2 linked regions of the Saccharomyces cerevisiae S288C genome follow. The gene in region 1 interacts genetically with each later gene. Each region holds a gene or a part of one and is shown in the gene's direction. Other genes may lie near its edges.

Evidence for each region.
Region 2: mutations in FEX1 (region 1) and HOB2 together harm fitness more than expected from each alone (negative genetic interaction), as found in Saccharomyces cerevisiae (2 studies listed by BioGRID).

What each region holds. Positions count from the first base shown.
Region 1 is NC_001147.6:1,075,194-1,078,706, forward strand, and holds FEX1 (fluoride transporter), read left to right. Parts: upstream 1-1,590; coding exon 1,591-2,718; downstream 2,719-3,513. Other genes in the region: YOR389W (uncharacterized protein), read left to right, coding at 1-894; HSP33 (glutathione-independent methylglyoxalase family protein), read right to left, coding at 3,352-3,513. UniProt on the Saccharomyces cerevisiae protein: Fluoride channel required for the rapid expulsion of cytoplasmic fluoride.
Region 2 is NC_001148.4:757,974-766,122, forward strand, and holds the start of HOB2 (Hob2p), read left to right. Parts: upstream 1-2,051; coding exon 2,052-8,149. Other genes in the region: RGC1 (Rgc1p), read left to right, coding at 1-155; RRG8 (Rrg8p), read left to right, coding at 675-1,508. UniProt on the Saccharomyces cerevisiae protein: Tube-forming lipid transport protein which may bind to phosphatidylinositols and may affect phosphatidylinositol-4,5-bisphosphate (PtdIns-4,5-P2) distribution.

The sequences.
Region 1 (3,513 bases):
ACTTTTTCTAATTTCAACGCAGTTAAGAGCTTCAATCAGTTGAGAGCGGGTACAGCGCATGACAACGGGGAGCATCGAATCCATATCGACTATAGGTACCTAGTGAGCGGGATAAACAGGACTTACATTGCTCCTGATCCTAACAACAGAAGATTACTCGATGAAGGAATGACATGGGAAAAGCAATTGGACATGGTAGATGACTTAGAAAAGGCTCTGGAAGTCGGATTTGATGCCACGCAAAGTATGGATTGGCAGTTAGCATTTGATGAGCTTGTCCTTAAATTTGCTCCATTACTAAAATCTGTTAGTAACATACTGAACAGCAATGGTGATATTAATGAGTCAATTGCCATCAATGCAACAGCACTCACATTGAACTTTTGTTTAAGGTTTGAGCCTGCAAGCAACAACAGTGATGAATTCGGTAGCGGGAAAGACTTTGCTGTCTACCAATATGTGAGCCCATACCAGGCCTTAAAAACGGATGCAGACTTTTTGATTTGGTCATCTGCTGTCAGCGTGGTCGGAGAAATTGTTGATGCCATTTATAAAGTGAATGATTTATTGATACCCGAAGTCTACTCTTTTATGACAGATAACACAACTTCCAGCGACTTAATAAAGAATGTCGAAACGGCTCGCTCCACTATCGATGGTTTAATTGAATCTCTAGGGTGGATTGAACTAAATTACCGTTGTGAGAGACAATGCAATTGGGATGAAGTTTGTTACACTCCTTCCTGGGGCCCATCTCCAATGGGTATGACTGAACCAGGTTCCCACAATGAGGGATTTGGAACCCACTTTGATGAATCTCGACAAAGGTTGGTTATTAACAGTAAACTACAGTGTATCAATATAAATGATTTGATGGTTAATCGTAATCATTAGCGCCTCCTGTGAGAAGGCCATTGTGGGACAGTATAAAGGGTATGATTTCTAGATAATCTAATAATGATTATGAAGTTTTTGAGATTTGGGGTGATACACATCTATGAATTACTAAGAGATTTGAGACACAGCGACAGTCATGCCAGCAAGATTTAAGATTTTCTTTATTTAGTGTTTATATACATATCAGATATCTGTTGAGTATTTTCTATTTTACCAAAAAAAAAAGATATGAAATCAAGATAAAACGTCGTATGAAAGACAAGGGAGCTCAGCAGCAATATCATAAAGTAAAGCAACAGCGCTTGGTTTATGTACAATGAACGATCTGAAAATTAGTTGGCAGCGGAGCTACGAATACATGTCAATATTACGTTACGATTGTATAACAGGGGAGGAGAATCGTGCACTTTGATGGGTATATCGAAAGATGGTGACTATGCTAGAGTCACTGTCAGTGAGGAGTTGCGATGTATGAAAGATTCACTGACATAAAGTGGCGCGATTCATGTAGAAGTGTAAATCACTTTTGACGCAATGATGGAAGAGATACAGAAGAGATACGGAAAAAATAAAACAAAAAACAACTGAAATAAGTACTAATGGATTATATTTATTGCCGCCATTATTATTTAGCCTCTGGTGGCTCAAGAATCTGCAGTTATTTAATTATTTAATCGAGCGTGTAATGCTCTGATGATTTTCAATCCGGTCATATCAAATCACAAGTTGAGCCATTATATTCATGTTTTTTGTACATTCACCACGTTCTGCATATTAGGTACTGAAACACGTCAGGCTATAACGGCGCTTTCCACCTACACTCCGGCCTTCGTTACTGCTCCGACCGTTCTCTGGTCTAATTGTTCATCCTGCATGCTAATGGGGATTATGCAATCTTTAAATGCTTACACTTGGATGAAAGATCACCAAGTCTTGTTTTTAGGTGTAACTACTGGGTACTGTGGTGCCCTGTCTTCCTTTTCTAGTATGCTGCTAGAGATGTTCGAACACTCTACAAACTTAACTAACGGTAATATCGCTAACCACACAAAACTGCCGAACAGAGCTTACGGTATAATGGAGTTTTTATCTGTCTTGCTCGTTCATCTTATGGTTTCCATGGGTAGTCTTATTTTCGGTAGGCAACTTGGTAAGGAGGTTATTGTTGCTTATGGATCTAGTTCGTTTTCGAAGCCATATACCCCTCCCTCAGACACTGTAAAGGAAAATGCTGGTGATGTTGATACACAAGAAATGGAAAAAAATATTCTAGAGTTTAAATTCAAAACTCCAGCACCATTTTTTAAGAAATTTTTTGATATTGTGGATAAACTCGCGTATGCACTAGCTTTTCCATTAATTATTTTGTTTGTGGTGCTGTGTGCGTATTATGAGAACTATTCGAGGGGCAAGTGGACACTACCATGTCTATTTGGAATTTTCGCTGGTTTCCTAAGATATTGGTTGGCAGAAATGTTTAATAAAACAAACAAAAAGTTTCCATTGGGTACTTTCTTGGCAAACGTTTTCGCCACTTTATTGATTGGCATATTTACCATGGTGCAACGTGGTAAAAAACACTTTTCTACGGACGTTCCAATTGTGAACTCGTTGAATTCATGTCATATTGTTTCTGCGTTAATATCCGGATTTTGCGGCACTTTGAGTACCATTAGCACGTTTATCAATGAAGGGTATAAGCTATCATTTATTAACATGCTTATTTATTATACTGTTTCGATTGCAATTTCATATTGCTTATTGGTGATAACTCTCGGATCCTATGCTTGGACTAGAGGATTGACCAACCCGATTTGTTAGGATCTTTTCTTTATACTTTTCCCTGCATAATCATCCCACTTTTTTTTTTTTTTTTTTTAATTCATTTTCAAGATTTTAGACGTTGTATAATACATTTTTACCCACTACTGCGGTTTATTGTAATATTTTGTGAGATTTTATGAATGCGTTCCATCATCTATTTACTACAAAACGATAAATTTCCCCGTTTTCTTTTACTTTTACTTCATTTAATATAATTCATATTTATTTCCCATGTACCAATTAATTACTCATAAAAAGAACAGAAATAGAAAAAAGTTGTATATAACAAGCCAAAAAAAAGAAAAAAAAAGGAAAAAAAAGAAAACACAGCTTATTTCAAATTGCAATCTGCGTATTTCGTAAGTAACGAATGATCTCACAGCATTGCTTTTTTTTTTTTTTATATATATATGTACATTACCTATGTCACATATGACCATGATGAATACAACACTAAAAACCAAGGCCTACTATTCAATTGTTCTCTATATGATTTCCATTCTAGCAAAATCGAGTGCTACCGACCTGCCGTTTTCTTTACCTTTCGAACCATTGAGCTGTTAGCCTTCTCTTCACAGAAACTGAAAGTCATTAAAAGCCTCCCCTTCAACAATTCCCTTGTCTTTTGTTTCAGCTATATAATGCGTTTATAGCTCTAATTGTGGTCGAATAGGAAGAATTTGCGTTAACACCCGTAACTAGCTTTCCATCTGTAATAGAGTAGTCATCCCAGGGATGGATTGGCGCCAAGTACTTGGCTCCATTCTTGTTTGCAACGCGTTCAACCGTTGT
Region 2 (8,149 bases), on another chromosome or scaffold:
CTAAAGGTGTTGAAGCTCCTTATAGCAGTTTGAAAAAGACATATAGTGCGGAAAACGTCCCACTAACATCTACTGTATCGAATGATAAGTCTCTTCACTCGCGCAAGGAGGGAAGTACTAATACTGTACCTGCTACATCCGCGTCAAGTAAGTGACACTATGAAAACCTGTCCAATAAGACTGCACAGATGAAGAGCATGTCATTTGGTTCCTTGATAAGTGTAATAAGCAACAAGAAAGTCCTGGGTCATGTTCCTGCTGAAAATACAAACCCATTAACTACCGGAAACGAAGAAGATTAAGACAAAATGGAAAAGTTAAGTTAAACGCAATCAGTTCATATATTCTTAGATAGTTATCATGTTTTTATAAGTAAACAAAGTAGTCTTCTACCAAATAAAAATAGATTCCTGATTGGGTATTTTTCAGAAGTATCATCTGAACTTGATGTTATTTTAAAATGAAAGCCAGCGTCCATAATTATCTTTTTCTTACTTGTTTTTTACAGTGGCGGTAGGATTGGCAATGCCTGTTCATCTCCAGTTTTCCGGTCCGCTTACGACATCGGCCTTTCTATAAGACAGGTTGGCAATGCGCCACGGTACATGATGACGATAGGAGCCTTCGAATAATATTTTGTTGTGAATTCTCCTGGGAACCTCTCAAAATCAAATATGGGTTTACCTAAATCGGCATATAAGAAGTTACTCATAGATTGTCCAACGAGAGTCATTAATAAAAACTGTGCCCAACGAGTCAAAGATGTTTCTCCGCTCATTACAAACTTCGAGAAATGGTCGGATAAGCGCAAGAAGCTCTATTTCAAAGATGAAGAGGAAATGGTGGGGCAGTTCCATTTGGAAAATTTCAATTTAAAAAATAACTTATATGGTAGGCTTTTAGCTTCTCCAATGAGAGCAGAAAAAATCTCAAAATTAAAATCGTGTAGAGAATTACTAATTCCATTGAAAGTGGTACCATCAACTGGCAAAGATCAGCATGCTGATAAAGATAAACTAAAACTGGTACCTACACTAGATTATTCCAAATCATACAAAAGCTCGTACGTATTGAATTCAGCCTCCATTGTACAAGACAACTTGGCGGCTGCGACGTCATGGTTCCCAATCTCGGTATTGCAAACATCAACTCCAAAGAGCCTAGAAGTTGATTCCTCTACATTTATAACGGAATACAATGCTAACTTGCACGCATTTATAAAAGCAAGACTTTCAGTGATACCGAATGTTGGACCTTCTTCGATAAATCGTGTTTTACTCATTTGTGACAAGAGAAAAACACCCCCGATTGAAATACAAGTAGTTAGTCATGGTAAAGGGCTACCAATTACACAGTCTGTCTTTAACCTTGGTTATCTCCACGAGCCAACTCTAGAAGCTATCGTGAGTAAAGATGCAGTTACTAATGGAATTTACCTGGATGCCGACAATGACAAGGATCTCATCAAACACCTTTATAGTACATTATTGTTTCATTCAGTTAACTGATTGCGGAAGAAAAAAGGAAGGAAAGCGGGATATATCGCTGGAATTGTCTCTCTGAATTTGCCATTATTCTTATTCAATGAATACAAAACTGGCTGTCAGCGAATGGCATCATTTTGCAATCCGAAAATGAAAAATTTGGGCGCCTCGGGCAGGAGAATTCAGAACCCTTAATCCCGCACATCTACGTAAAATATCTCTGAGGTGTTCTATAGTCCATCACTTACCATCCATCTGCAAGGCTGTATGATTGATAAAGAGGAACATTAAGGGTAAATAGATTTGTTGATTTGTTTGCACTAGTGGCTTTGTATTAAAAACTTCAAGGGCATACACATGCATTATATTCAAGAGCACAACCAATAATTTACCATTATAGAAGGTACTTCTTTGAAAACTAAATCATACACTTTTTCCCACGAAAAGGCTTACATTTAAAAGCTAAGCATTCAATTTAGTTTTGCTGATCAATTTCTCGAGTAGGCTTGTCATCCATAATATCTAGTAGCTGGAGTATCCTGTTTATTGCAAGAAAAAAAATCTACAATGTCTATGTTACCGTGGTCTCAAATAAGGGATGTGTCTAAACTATTATTAGGCTTTATGCTTTTTATTATATCAATTCAGAAAATCGCTAGTATTCTCATGTCATGGATATTGATGCTGCGCCATTCCACAATACGAAAAATTTCATTTGGATACTTTTTTGGTACGTCAATAAGACGAGCGTTTATCTTAACTGATTTTGCTCAAATATATATTGGCAAGATAACCTTGCGAATAGGTTGGAAACCCGGAATTGTGTTTCATAATGTTGATTTGAAGTTATTTGGGAAGGACAGCCATATCACTGCACATTCAACTAAAGACTCCAGAACATATTTCAATCCGCGGGATCAAACTTTTACCTTTGTAATTAACAGGCGAGTCCTATCAATTTTGAAACTTGTGTTCTCATTTTCCACTTTCTTTCATACTTTAGCTCTTACAGTGCCTAATGGAAAACAATATAAATTAAATATCGGATCCATAACGATATCACACCCACACGATGATACCATAAAGTTAGAGGCATTTTTGCATGATTTTACCCATCCTGAAACGAAAGATACTTTGAACCATACTGGTTTTTTTATGGTCTGTAAAATTGGAAAGGAAGATGATACAGGCAGCAACTGCACAAAAGTTATACTAAAAAATTGGAAATCAAGTCTCAAAATAAGTGATGTTTGTTGGCATCTTCCAGAGAAGAAAGGGAAGAATTTGCATTCGGAGCCTGTTGAGCCTTTTTCTGCTGGTGATGATGCGGAAATGCTCACTTCATATCGTAAGATGCTAAAGCCTTTTCACTACCCACTGAAAACTTTGAACATTCTGGACCTTAAGGTAGAAAATGTAAAGTTGATTTACAAAAAAAAGTTTACAATTCGCATATCAAGTGCTCAACTTTACTTGGAATCAATCTCCATTCTAAATAATGTCTCCGCTTTGGAACTTTTACCCTTAAATAAGCCCACATGGGGCGATTTTGAACTATCACTTTCTGCAAATGCTGTTGTAGTAGATATCGATGGTAATACAGCAGTTAGAATTCCATTTGGAAATGTCATACTGACGTCAGATATTTTACTATTTTTACTTGACAATGTACCTTTACGGAGAACGAAGGTATCTTCCATTTTGAACATTATAAATCCTTCAGTATTCCTCACTATACATCAAGTACTGGAAGTTCTTCATTTAGTGGACAAATTCGATAGCCCTGAGACCTCATCATGTACTAACACAAACGACAGATCATTAAATATTTTAGATTTAGATATTGATCGATTGCCCAGTTTTAACTTTGAACTACTAATGTCGAATTTTATTTCAAGGCTGCATATATCAGATGAGGAGAATGTGACGTTTAAGGTCTTCAGCACACATGCTCTCTTTAGCCGTAACAACTTGTCTATGACTCCTAAAAAGGGACAAGTAATGCAAATACGTCCGGATTGGCCATTTGCGAAGACAGCCCTAGTATCTGATCAATTATCTAACTATATTAAAATTGTGGGTACATCACTCTCTTACCTGAGAATTCCAACAGAGCAGGACGCTAACCCAGTGTCTATACCAGTCTGTGGCTTTGAAAGATTAGACACATTTCTGGATGAATTTTCAAATTCTAAATTGATCGTTCAGTCTACACTAAGACATTCGTACGTTAGTCTTGAGAACATTGAAGTTTTGCATACTTTAAGTCGCGCCTTTGACAAAATTTACTTGCTAATATCTAGCAGAACAAAAAGGAATGCGGCTCATAAAGCGAATGGTGGAAAATTGGGGGACCTAAATGAAGCCAAGAAAACATTTAACTGGTCATTGAAACTTAGAATGAAGGATATTTCATGTTCGTTACTGGTCGCTGGGTTTCTTCCGAAAAATTTGGATCCTGTGGAAGCTGAGAATTTTAACTTATCTGACGTAACTAGAGGCGCCAAAGTTGTTTTTACAGAATCAATATTGTTAGCGGACAGCCAGGAGAAAAACTTCACTATTATTGATGCATCCGTATATCGTTTCATGGATGGCACTACGTATAAGCCCTCTCCTGAGGTTATTATTCAATTTACCAATTTGTTATTGAGTTTTAACGACTCAGATGAAATTCATTTTTCACTTCCCAAGATTAAATTTAAGATGGATGTAAATATTATCTGGTTGTGGTTTTATATTCGGAGTATATGGATAAAATTTCGTCCTAATTCAAAATTGAGCCGAAATTCAGTGAGCAGTGTAAAATCTGTCAATGTTCTCGATAGATTAAGAGTAGATATAGGAAAGATGATTATAGAGCTAACGCTTCCTCATAATACAGAGGTACTCCTAATATTCGAGAGGATTGGACTTTCAAGTTCCACTAAAAATCTTACAATTGCATCTTTGTCAGCGTACGTGGTATCGGTTTATGTGAAGCATATTAAGGTTTATGTTTCCTTGCTAAATATTAATGACTTTGAGCTAGACACTGAAGAGTTGATCTGCAAGAAATCCGCTGTTATAAACACCTCATTGATTCATTTTCATGCCGAATATCATTTTAGATTTTACATGATAACGGATAACATAGTCACGTTGTATAAATCGTTTAAGCAAATTAAATTGGCATTTTCCAATTTGAATGAATTTAAGCGATTATACCCTCAGCAACAGTTTCCGAAAAAAGTTCCAAATTTACATATTTGTTGCCAGGATTTTCTAATTGATATTGAAGAAGATCCTTTTGAGCAGGAGTTAGGATTAATTTTGAAAGTTGGTGTTTTGGAACAACGTGAGAGGTTAAAGAAGCTTGAAGAGTTCAAGGAAAAGCTATCAACATATGAGGACATGAATGTACGTTTAAGGTCGCTCTATGATACCTCCCGTGGACAAAGTTTTTTCCCAGAGTTTTATGCGAATGATCAAGAATATGAGCAAAAGGCCTATCTCAGGTTGTTAGAAAACTTTTCAACGTCATGGATTGCCAGATACAGGAAAGCAAAACTTTCTTTTTATGGTATGCCTTATCGGGTTATCAGCCGTGAAGAGCTTGGTACGAAATACCACTTGTTTACTAGACAGAAAACCAGTACTGTTGCTAACCTCGTCGTAAAAGATTTGGATTTTAAACTAGGCAGTCCTTCCTTCCCTTTAGACAATTATATGGATTTTGTTTACCAGTATGGAAAAAAAGTTCCAAAATCTACGGAGTACACTTTGCTAATTATTCTTGGCCTCAAAATCAAAAGCGCGTTATGGGAGTTGCGTCTGAGAGATTATCCAATACCTGCTATATCATTTCCCGACACATTTACAACAGGTGATGTTGTATTTGCTGAAAAGATGCCAGCACCTTGCGCGCTTCATACTGTTTATGTTCCTTTTGTCAGCTCTGCCCAAAGAAGCCCCTATAATGACGCCAATACAATATATGGTTTGCACATCATTCGTACAATTAATTCAGTCAAAACATATTTCAATATTAGGTCAATGGTTACATCTTCTTCATCTGCCAGAATAACATGGGGGAAATCTCTGCAACCCGGTTATGAGTCTTTGATGCTTTGGTTTGATTTTTTAACCAAACCTCTCATCGATCCGTCCAAAAAGCTAGGATTTTGGGACAAATTCAGATATTTAGTGCATGGGAAGTGGATATACGAGTTTTCAGAGGAAAGTGAGATCCACTTAAATATTAAAGGTTCACATGATCCTTATAAGATTACAGATGATGGTGCGGGTCTGGCGTTCTGCTGGTCTGGTGGCACCACAATTTACGTTCATAACTCCACGGATCCTAAAGAGTTTTTAAAAATTGAATCCCAAAGGTTTCAGTTGGCAGTGCCAGACTTTGCCAAAGTTAGTAAATTTGATAAAGTCTTTATGAAGCTCGATGGAAGAGTAATTTGGACATTAGGTTTACTTTTTGAACAAGGCGATATATCTAAGGCTGGTGACGAAGAGAGGTTCCTTCCAAATAGGCCACATTATGAAATACAGCTGATGAATCCAGATGGAGTCGCAGATTTGGATCACCATGATACATACAAAGGATTTAGAACATCTTTTATCCACATGTCATTTGGTGTCTATTCTTCTGAGCACGGATCCATAAATAGTCTCTATCTCGCACCTTACGCTTTAACACATTTCTTTAAGTGGTGGAATTTATTTCATACATATACATCTGGTCCTATTAGGCAAGGACGGTTATTTACGGATGTACTTCAAAACAAGACAAAGTTTGGTCGCTCATTATTTACAATAGCTTATCAGCTACATTTAAAACGGCTAATGGTTACGCATATTTATCGGCATATTACTACTCAATATGATCTTGAAAAAGACCGCAAAATAACTTTTACTGGATTGAAAGGGAGGTTTGATTCACTGAAAATTGATTTGCATCAAAAAAGAGTTAAACTGACCCATACGAACCAAAAATTAAATAAGTCAAAACCTGTATGGAAGTTTAAGATGTCTAGGGGTGAGATTGATTGTGCAGAAGCAGATATTAGGATATTATCAACTCTGTTTGATCAGGAAGCAGTTAAGGAAATTCTTACTTCTGGACTCGATGGCATACTTGAAGACGAGCCATCACGTCCTATTACGCCTCAAGATGTGGAATACTTGCGTGAATCAGATTGGTATGATTATGAGGATTATATAGACTTGAATCAAGTGCCGCTTGGTTCCTCACTTCCATTAAAATTAGAAGCAATACCATTGCTATACTCTCCTAGAATATCCTACTTTAGAAAAATAAATGATGATGGTTACGTACTAGCTTACCCATTTGGTACCGAAGAATCTCACAATTGTCTGATTGGCAAGAATCATCCAGAATTGACGCAGGAGAAATTAGCAACTGAAAGAAAACGAGAAATAGAAGAACAACTAAAATTATTACATATTACGTTAAGCGAATTGCAATCGAACAAAGGCGGAGGTTCGGTAAGTGGAAATTCGGAGCGCTATGCACGCGAATTAAAAGCAGAGGTAGCTGAATTAAACCACAGATTGCACACAGTCAACACCATCTTGAGCGATTTAAAAATCTCGGAGACTATTCCTGGAGGAAATACTGATGGTGATAGCTCCAGCTCACTCTCCGATACTGATGTAAATTTGGAAAATGCACCGCCAATTCAAAATAGAATATCGCTATTGAGGACCAATACCGTGGAGTCTTTTGTATCAATGAGAAAAGCCTCTACTATGCAGGTTGAGTCCACCTATGATAACCGTTTCATGGTCCATAATATCGAGTTAAAAATCGATAATAAAATCAGGCATCACCTTTTGGAATACGCTTCCAGTGCTTTCGAAAGGAAATCTATGAGGTTTGCTGTGACTTATAAATCCGTAACTATTTTAAAAGAATTACTGGGAAATGTGTTGACTGGGGTCAGAACATCTGTAGAAGATTATGGTTCAATACTTGAGGACGATTTAGCCAGTAATTCAGAATTTATTGAGCACTTTGAGAAACTCATCAGAGAAGTTCCGAGTGATGACTTTGATTATGTTGATAATTATCTTTTTAGACTAATCTCCCCTCAGGTTCAGATCAAATCGGACGTTGAAAGGAACGCAGCAGTTATTTTAGCTGCTAGGGATATAGAAATGGGAATAATTGATATAGTTCAAGTGTATGGAAAATCAGGAAAAAGAATTCCCGTTGACGTCGATACTATTGTTGAAACTCGCTATTCCGCTGTTTCAAAGGACATTCAGTTGTTTACATTGTTCAAAAAGGATTTAGAGGGTCCTGAAGGTAGATTTTTCCATAAAAATGGATATGGTTCCGACAAAGAGTCAGATATATGGCCCCCATGGATTCCTCTTGAAATGTGCTTTGACGGGTCTTTATTAGATAAGCATGTTTTTCTAAAACGGAGATCAATGTTTTTGACCTACGTCGCTCCCAATCCCCTATTTTTTAGTGCAAATGATACGTCTGCATTCTCTTATGATTCGAGATTTCGTATTGCATTTCCAGGATTGGTTCTGACCTCGGACTGTCAACAATACTGCGCTGTATATGCAATCGCAGAAGATTTACTTTCCTTTGGATCATCATTGGATGAAAAAGTTGAGAAACTTTCCAGGATATT